Danio rerio: one gene and its partner. The protein of the gene in region 2 interacts with the protein of the main gene of each other region in a biochemical or structural test. Links are inferred from orthologs where the notes say so. Each region holds a gene or a part of one and is shown on either strand. Other genes may lie near its edges.

Evidence for each region. The genes of interacting proteins can lie anywhere in the genome.
Region 1: the proteins of rad51ap1 (region 2) and dmc1 form a complex in vitro, tested with the Homo sapiens proteins (2 studies listed by BioGRID and IntAct). The link is inferred for Danio rerio from reciprocal best matches to the Homo sapiens genes RAD51AP1 and DMC1.

Annotation. Positions count from the first base shown.
Region 1 is NC_133187.1:21,020,604-21,025,166, reverse strand, and holds the start of dmc1 (meiotic recombination protein DMC1/LIM15 homolog), read right to left. Parts: upstream 2,936-4,563; 5' UTR 2,736-2,935; intron 2,627-2,735; 5' UTR 2,519-2,626; intron 2,280-2,518; 5' UTR 2,279-2,279; coding exon 2,222-2,278; intron 1,513-2,221; coding exon 1,468-1,512; intron 1,392-1,467; coding exon 1,245-1,391; intron 1,137-1,244; coding exon 1,054-1,136; intron 737-1,053; coding exon 684-736; intron 569-683; coding exon 527-568; intron 436-526; coding exon 363-435; intron 255-362; coding exon 163-254; intron 26-162; coding exon 1-25. UniProt on the Homo sapiens protein: Participates in meiotic recombination, specifically in homologous strand assimilation, which is required for the resolution of meiotic double-strand breaks.
Region 2 is NC_133179.1:5,640,147-5,644,665, reverse strand, and holds the start of rad51ap1 (RAD51-associated protein 1), read left to right. Parts: upstream 1-1,670; 5' UTR 1,671-2,014; exon of another isoform or gene 2,015-2,071; intron 2,072-3,892; 5' UTR 3,893-4,069; intron 4,070-4,153; 5' UTR 4,154-4,254; coding exon 4,255-4,307; intron 4,308-4,519. UniProt on the Homo sapiens protein: Structure-specific DNA-binding protein involved in DNA repair by promoting RAD51-mediated homologous recombination.

The sequences.
Region 1 (4,563 bases), on a different chromosome or scaffold from region 2:
TCTAGCAGTTCCATCTGATGCTCACCTCAAAAATTAAAAATAGAGACAGATTTGTAACAAAACACACAACACACATTTTGTGGCTCCTCTTTGTCTAGCCAAATAGATTCTCAAGTAAAATGACACACAAAAACTAAACAAAGAAGTAGCAGCTATTCTTACTGGTATACGCACGTGCATAAAGCACATTGTCCAGAACAGCTTCATGATCCACATTGAATCTGTCAGCGATGTCCTTCAGCCTCTCAGGCCGACTGATGTTCACAATTATTAAGGTAAAAAGTTCAGAATGACTTCTCCATATGAAATGGATTTAGTAAAATGAATCACTCACACACAGCAAGCAAATGCACAAATGATACAAGGTGTTTTCGGTATCAATGAAGATGACCTTTCCTCCTGTGTACCCAAATTCCCCAGGAAGCTGAGCAGTAACTGAAGGGAAAAAAGAAAACAAAATGATGTGAATGGTCTAAAAATGAGAATTAAATTCCGCATTTAACATTTACACAAGATTCATTCTTACCACACAGAGTATGTGAGAGCTGAGTCTTTCCAGTTCTGAATTCTAAATGAGGCATGGGAAACAATTCACAAAGACAAAAACATATCATTTTGGCAGAAGTGATGTACGGAAAATGCCTAACATATCATTATGGTTTCAAATCAAAACATCACCCTACCACCAAAAGCCTCGGTGATGGCCATACTCTCCACACCTCCTCCAAGGAGTTTGCTAAAGTAAATATGAATAAACCGTTTCTCCTTTCATGTCAACAATGTAAGACTTTCATCGGAAAACATATATAAAACAACATGTTACTGCTTGTACACTGAAAACCTTAATAAGTTGACTGAACTAAATGAATAAAGTAAACTCTTTGCCTCAGTTTATTGGAGTAAATGAGTCCTCCAAAACTTACATATTTCAGTTTATTTACCTTGCCAGTTTTGTAGATTATACTTAAATTGTTCAGTTCACCACACAAAAACAAATTCTAGCCACAAATAAAATTTGGTGTCTAAAAATGTAAGACCTATAAAGCTTCTTACTCAAACTCCAAACTGCCAGTTGTGATGTGAAACACTTGCTTTCTCTTGATGCAGTATTCAGATGCTGTCTGGAATCCGCATGTCTGCATGAATGAACAGAACATATTACATTTACAACCTCCTTGATCGATGAGTAGTTACAAAATACAGCAAAAAATATATAAATCATGTCAACCAACACATCAAATTACCAGCAACTTTCCAGCGGCTTCTTTAATTTTGTCCACTTTAGCTTCAGAAAGTCCCTTTATGTTACAGAGAGCACGGCGTGTGGTCATCTGGATGCCTTTCACCGTACAAATCCCTACAGACTTCAGTTTCTTTATGTCGGCCACGTTCTTCAGAAAGATCATTATGGGTGAGAACCACTTTCATGATCATTTCATAACTTCATAATAACAACATTTTACTTACAATGCCATGCTTCTGCAAGAGCTCAATGTCTTGAAAAAAGGATTCCTGGAAGAGATTTGATAGCAAATGTTCATCACATTACATAGAAACAACAAATAAATAAAAAACAAGTGGGGATTTTCAGATTTAAGTTGAGAAACTGTAGGTTAAAAAATCATGTGCTTGTCAGTTTTGAGAATTTGGGGTTTTCATAAAGTGTTTATCAGTCTTATGTAAAGATAACAGCCAAAATACAATGTGAGTGTTTCTTTTATCACACATTTTTTTTTCATTGGGCAGTGGATTTCAATTTCAATATTGTCAATCAAAATGAGTTTTCCTCTTCTGTACTGTGCCATAAATCTCCACTTTAGCAGCATTCATTTTAACCAACTTTAGTTTTATTCATATCTTTAATCTGAAGGTTTTAACAGATCGATGTGCTCATAATTAGCCTGATTATAAACAGTATTTTATTCTACAATACTTTATTGTTGTTACTGGTTACAGTCTTTTTCTGAATTATGAAGTAAAAAAAGAGATACCTCTAATATGTATTAATAACGACTATTCCATTTAATGTTTAGGCTGTGTTAGAACTGTACACCACTTTACTGTACAGTTGTATTTTATGGTTTTGACATGAGTGTTTTGCTTTATGCACCATTATGATGTTATATTTTTTATAAACACAAGACCTAACACGGTTAAATAAAAAAGCATGTTTTTGCACGATTGAATGGGCTGTGGCTGCCTGAAAATGAATGTAAATCACCTCATCATCTTGGTATCCCGACTCCTCTTCCAAAGTTTGTTCCTCCAAAACTTTCATACTTTGAATGAGACAAAAAGAACGTTTAAGTTATAATAAAATACCTGTGATTTGGCATGCTATTAACCACGTAATTTGGTAACAAGTTTACCATAAATCATTTAAAACTTGCGGCTAAACCGGCTAATTTACATGTACGTTTTGTTGAAGCGCTGTGATAAAAAAATGTGTCTTGTTCCTTGTCATAACGTTGTTAATTAATTATTTTTAATTTTTTTTAGAACAGAAATTACATTTTACCTGTCGTTTATTCCTGAGAAGAAGCTGAAAGAAATTTCGCGCCACAATCGTATGTTGACACTTTGGCTCGGCGTGCACGCGCATCAGTCCCGCGCCCAAGCAAGCTTGCTACATAAAAAAATGTATAATAAATAAATAAATAAATAAATAAATAAATGTCGTTTTAAACTGCTTTTTACACTGTTGTTGTTAAATTGTTAAAATATCTCTGTTTTACCTTTAATGACAAAAATTGACCAAAAACATACAAACTAATTTTTTAGGTTTATTGTTACAGATAAAATGTTACATTTTAATTTGAAACTTGTTTAGGAAAGATTTTATTTCAAAGGTAGGTGATAATTAAACAAACACAACTATAAGCATGAAAATTAAATAAAGGTATGATGACGAATACTTCAGCTTTGCAGCATGTGTGTATTTTTTAGCACTTAAATTATACATAAAGAGGAAATAATCACAACACCAGACACAATAAAGTACATTGTTGAATAAATATATTTTTATTGTTTTCTCATTGTGTTCCATCCTTCTCCATCTCCTCTTCCTCTTTTTTCCTTCTCCCTTTCCTTCAATCCTTTTTCTATTTAAACTTCTCCTCCTCCTTAATCTTGTCATCCACCTCCTCCTTATCCATCGTCTCTTCTTTTTTCCTTTTCTGTCCTTCAATCATTCTTGTCTTTAATCTTCTCCTCGTTAATCGCCATCCACTTCCTCCTTCTCCATCATTCTCCTCCATCTTCTCTTCATCTTTTTCCTTCACCCTCTCCTTCAATCATTCTTCTCTTTAATCTTCTCCTCCTACTTAATCTTGTCATCCACCTCCTCCTTTTCTATCATTGCCTTCTCTATCTTCCCCCTTTTTTCTTCTCCCTTTCCCTCCATTCATTTTCTTTTTAATCTTCTTCTCCTTCTTAATCTTATCTTCCACCTACTCCTTCTCAATTATTGTATCCTCCATCTCGTCCTCCTCTTTCTTCCTTCTTGTCCTCCACCTTAATTTTGTCCACTTCCTTCTTCCCCACTGGATCTCCACAGGATGAATCAGGTTGCTGCAGCTTGAGGTCTCCTTCCAGCACAAACCAATCCACTACTACAAACCCACAGTGCTTTGCAGTGCCGCACAGCTTTATATAAAGATTGGAATAATTTATAATTAATTGTTATACTGTAAAATTTTTTTTTAAGAAAAATGACTAAGAAAATGTCAGCTGGATAAACTATTTTGAATGCAACAAAAGCTTTTTTATTTGTGAGTCTTAAAAAAATATTTATTCGAAATGTATATATTTGGTGGCAAAGGACTCAAAAAAGGTTTTGGGAAACTCAAACAACAAGAACTGAAATTTATTTACTTCATAAATAAATTTTAAACAAAATATTAAGACAAATATGTACAGTTGAAGTATTTATTAAACCCCCTGAATTAAAAGACCCCCTGGTTATTTTTCCCCCAATTTGTTTAATATAGAGAAGATTCTTTCAGCAGATTTCTAAACATAATAGTTTTAATAATTCATTTCTAATAACTGATTTATTTTATCTTTGCCATGATGGCAGTAAATATTATTTGACTAAATATTTTCAGGACACTTCTAAAGGCTTAACTAGGTTAATTAGGTTAACTAGACAGGTTAGGGTAATTAGGAAAGTTATTTTATAATGATGGTTTGATCTGTAGACTAGAAAAAAATATAGCTTAAAGGGGCTAATACTTTTGACCTTATGGTTTTAATTACTAAACCCTAAAACTGTTTTTATTCTAGCCAAAATAAAACAAATAAGACTTTTTACAGAAGAAAGAAATGCTATCAGACCTACTGTGAAAATTTCTTTGCTCTGTTAAACATCATTTGGGAAATATTTAGGGAATTTCTGACTTTAACTGTAGTTTGCAATACTTAGGCTACTACTGCATATTGCACATATCAGCAGGTTCTTTTTGCACCGTTCCCGCATGTCTGCAACTCCTGCTGCATCACATCAGGTTATCAGCAGTCAGTCACAGAAACAGAGATATTTGGTCATTTGATGAGTCACACACA
Region 2 (4,519 bases):
GCCTCACAGCAAGAAGGTCGATGGTTTAAGTCCCGGCTGGGCCAGTTGGCATTTCTGTGTGAAGTTTGCATGTTCTCCCCGTGTTGGCATGGGTTTCCTCTGGGTGCTTCGGGTTCCCCCACTGTCGAATCCAATGCATAAAGCATATGCTGTAATAGTTGGCGGTTAATTCTGCTGTGGTGACCCCTGGTAAATAAGAGACTAAGCTGAAGGAGAATGAATGAATGCTGATATAAATTGGTGAGCGTATGTGAGATTTCTCCTGAAAACATTTAAAAGCAGCTTCTGACCTACAAAATTGCTTGTTTAGTCATTTTAGTATTATTTTCTAACAGCACCCAAATGCTCACACAGAAGATCCTGCTTTTGTCTCTCCAGGTAAAGACTCGCTTCAAGAAGTTCCTCAAATCCTTGTTTCAGCGCATGTTAGAGGAGCACGGCTCTGCGTTGAGCTCTGCGCCATCGGAAGCAGATCAGCCTGTGATCGCTGGACTGGCAGACGATGGAGCACAGAACGTACCCGTCCACGCTCTGATGGTCAGTCACGGGGCGTTTATCCGCGTATCTGTGCGTCATCTGGTGGAGGATCTGCAGTGCTGTCTGCCCGCAGGTCTTAAGATGAACCAGGTGTTTTCTCCATGTCCAAACACTGGCATCAGCAGGTTCATCTTCACCATCCATAGGGAAGAGAGTGTCCTGCGGGCCACACGCATACAGGGGGTCTTTATCAACAGAAAAGACCACCTGGAGGAAGTCAAAAACTCTGACTGACAGGGCTCACTAAGACTGCTTGATTTGACAGTTTGTATTGCAAACCCAGCAACTGAAGCACATTACAAGTCTGTGTGTTTGATTTTATCATGAGTATTATTTAAATGCAGTTTTGTGAGCTGGCTGAACGTAAACACTCATAAGATGTCTTTTTTGATGTCGTCCATTATTTAAGCACTTTAAAGTTGCACCACCGCAGTTTTGGCCTCTATATTCACACGTAATGTGTACACGTATTCGTTTTCATGCAATAAAAGAAATGCTGAAACTTGAAATCAAGGAAGTTTGATTTGTTTTTGGATTTGTAAGTTAGTAGTAAGTATTTTCCCTTGGAAATGTATACTTTGTGTGCAGAGAAAATATTTGAATGTATTGAAAAGTGTATTGAAATGAATCAAAGTATGCTTGAAATAAAAAAAAAATGGACAGTCAAGTCAGGGAAATGGCGTAGCATATTTCTCACAGTTAAATTAATCATTTTAATTTCTTCTTTTGTTAATTATTGTTTTTAAAAGTGAAGCTAAAGCAGTGATTTTAATGTGAGCTTACAATCACTTAAGATAAACAACAGCATTGTTCATAGACTACTAGCACTTTTAAAAGCAAAAACTATTCATGTATAATTTAGTTATTTTGCTTCTTTACTATATTTATCTAGATTTAAGAATGTTCAGTGTTTACCAATGTGTTTACATGTCTGTGATATAAAATTATATTAGCCTAAAGTAGGCCTAATTGAAACAAAAAAACAAAATATTGAATCAAAAGTCCTTACCTTGGCCATTAAATTGATGTTCTGCTGTTGTTCACCATAATATTAGCGTAGCAATTCTCTCCGACTCGCTCAGAAATTGAAGGTTAAAAACAATACGTCATAAAAAACAACATGTGACGTAAATACACACTTCGTTTGCTGAAAAAGTAATCACGTCAGCGGTCGGAGTGCGTGAACGCGCATGGCAAATTAACGGTCGATGAGTTCAGAATTTTCGCTAATAATACATCAAATTGCGTTTTATTTTTTACCATATACGCTCAGAACACTTGAAATTAATGGATTGTGTCGTGTATGACCATCCTTTAAAACGTTTTATCAAAACTATAGTCATGGACGAGAGCGAGCACGACGTTTTAACTGAATTTTCAAACATGTAACGTTAACTTAGCCTAGATAGTGTGCTTTGTCTGCTGTTTTTTTTCCACAGAGTACAGAAGGACATGACTTGTCTTGAAAAACACCAAGGTAAGTTAAATAATGTCTGCGTTTTATATTTTTTGGTTGACGTTCATTCATTCTTTCATTCAAACTTTATTTATAAAGCACTTAACCACCAAAGTGCAGTAACGTTACAGTCTAACGAGTTAACGAGTCAGATATACGTACACACTATGCACACTATTTAAAACAAACATAAAATCAAGTGCCAAAGGTTAAGGGAAAAGATTTTGAGAGGTTTTGAGATGGGATATGAACAAAGACAACGTTTTTGATGTTATTATTATTGAATATAAGAATAATAACATCACTGCATTGAAGAAAAAAATAATAACAAAAAAACAAACAAACAGAAAACAATACAAACTTTACAAAGCCTCAATTTTTAAGAAAAAAAAGATTATCATAAGCTTTAGGAAACTTATTTTTCTTATTATTAATAATAAGAGATTCAGTTTCTGCAAGTAAAAGTATTAAATCTAGGGACTGCCTTTAGAAACTTATTTTTGTGTGAAAAATATTAAGAGTGGAACAAATAATAATAACAAGAAGATGGAGAGCATGATCATTGCCTGAGAGATACAGAAATATATCTTTTATAGACAAATTTAAATCATATTTAAATAAGGACGATAAATAAAAAATCTTATTCCAAAGACGTGAGTGATTGAGTGCAACTATAGAATAAGTGAAATAAAGTCTCTTCATGTTTATTACAGAAAGTACACAAATTAGATAGTTCAAAATAAATAGCAATTTGGGAATTTGTAGGATATACATATGAAAATCTTAAAATGTATCTCTCTTTGTTGGACATGCTGAATTTTTTAGGTAATAACCATGCTCTCTTCCATTGAATGCTGTCAGAGGAATTGGCCCAGAAATATGTACATCTTTGGGAGGTATAGAGTAATGTAACAATCGTCTGACATGTCGGTTGTCACATTTTTTTTAATCAAAAAAAGAATCTCCATCCAAAAAAAAAAAGTTTAGGTGTAATTGTTTTCCCCTCATTGAAGTAAAGAAACATTTGAAATAAATTCACATAACTTGACATGGCGGCGCAGTAGGTAGTGCTGTCGCCTCACAGCCAAGAAGGTCGCTGGTTCGAGCCTCGGCTGGGTCAGTTGGCATTTCTGTGTGGAGTTTGCATGTTTTCCCTGCGTTCGCATATTCCTCCGGGTGCTCCGGTATCACCCACAGTCCAAAGGCGTGGTACAGGTGAATTGGGTGAGCTAAATTGTCAGTAGTGTATGAGTGTGAATGATTGTGTGTGATTGTTTTCCAGAGATGGGTTGCAGCTGGAAGGGTATTTGCTGCGTAAAGACCATAGACTGTAAAATATAGGTAAAGACGTGCTGGATAAGTTGGCGGTTCATTCCGCTGTGGGGACCCCGGATTAATAAAGACAATAAGCCGAAAATAAAATAAATGTGTGAATGAACTTGGTGACAAAACTATATATAACACAATTGAAGGTTGTGGCTGGCAGACGGAAATTATACCATAAACTCATAAACTCCTCATATTCCAGAATATTGCCATAATTTTTTTAATTAGTCCAAAACAAAAACAAACCACCTATCAATAAAAAGAGATTTCTCATGAATTAAGACTTTAAAGTTATTCCTAAGTATTTCTTTGTGTGGGGAAAATAAACAAAGACAACGAAGGAGCCAGTCTAATGGAAAGTGACGTAATGCATATTAGGGTATACTATTTTCAATTTCATATTTTATTGGATTATATCGATTATGCGATGGTATGTATGTGTAAACCTATTAGTGATCAGAAGGTAAAATATCAAATGTCCATCATAAAAATGGGCATTTGAAGATTGTATTTATATTGATCGTCAGATCCTATGATTTTAGGCTAATTGAATTGTGTCTCCTCATCCAATAGATGGCGCTGTGCTACTGACCTCTGGAGGACAGATGTGCCAACCTGCTGATGGGTAGGAGAATGGGACACGTCTTCTCTGCCGCCCACTCCAACAGGAAACATTCACCATCTTTGGTCCCTCATTTTCTCCGGCGAGGGAAACTTAGTGATCTTCTAAGGCTTGTCATTTTCCTGCCGGTAAGTGGGCGGCAATTTGGTTGAGTTGGTCACGCAGGGGACCTGGACGACTCAAAAGCACTGACTGACGTCCTGCAATCCAAGCAGACGATAGACTAGTTTGTGGCCACACATTCTTCAACTCCTCCAGACGATCCTAAAATATCTGCTCAGACAAATCACATTTCTTACATGCACATGTGTTCATGCTGAAGCTGCCAATGTGCTCATCATCAAAGCTCTGCAGCAGCAGCTTCAGGTATGTTATTGTCCAATATGTTTGTACACTCAAACAGCTGCTGTGTCCATAGACAGGAAAAGGCCACTTCTATATAAAACCCTGCAGTTTTATTTAGTTTCCACAGTTTAGACACCCAAACAAAGCCACGTGCCCACAATGTTTTGTTCTGCTGCAGTTCCACTTAACTGTTTGGTTTGTTTTTCCCAGCGGGTCAGTCTGATCCTCCAAAC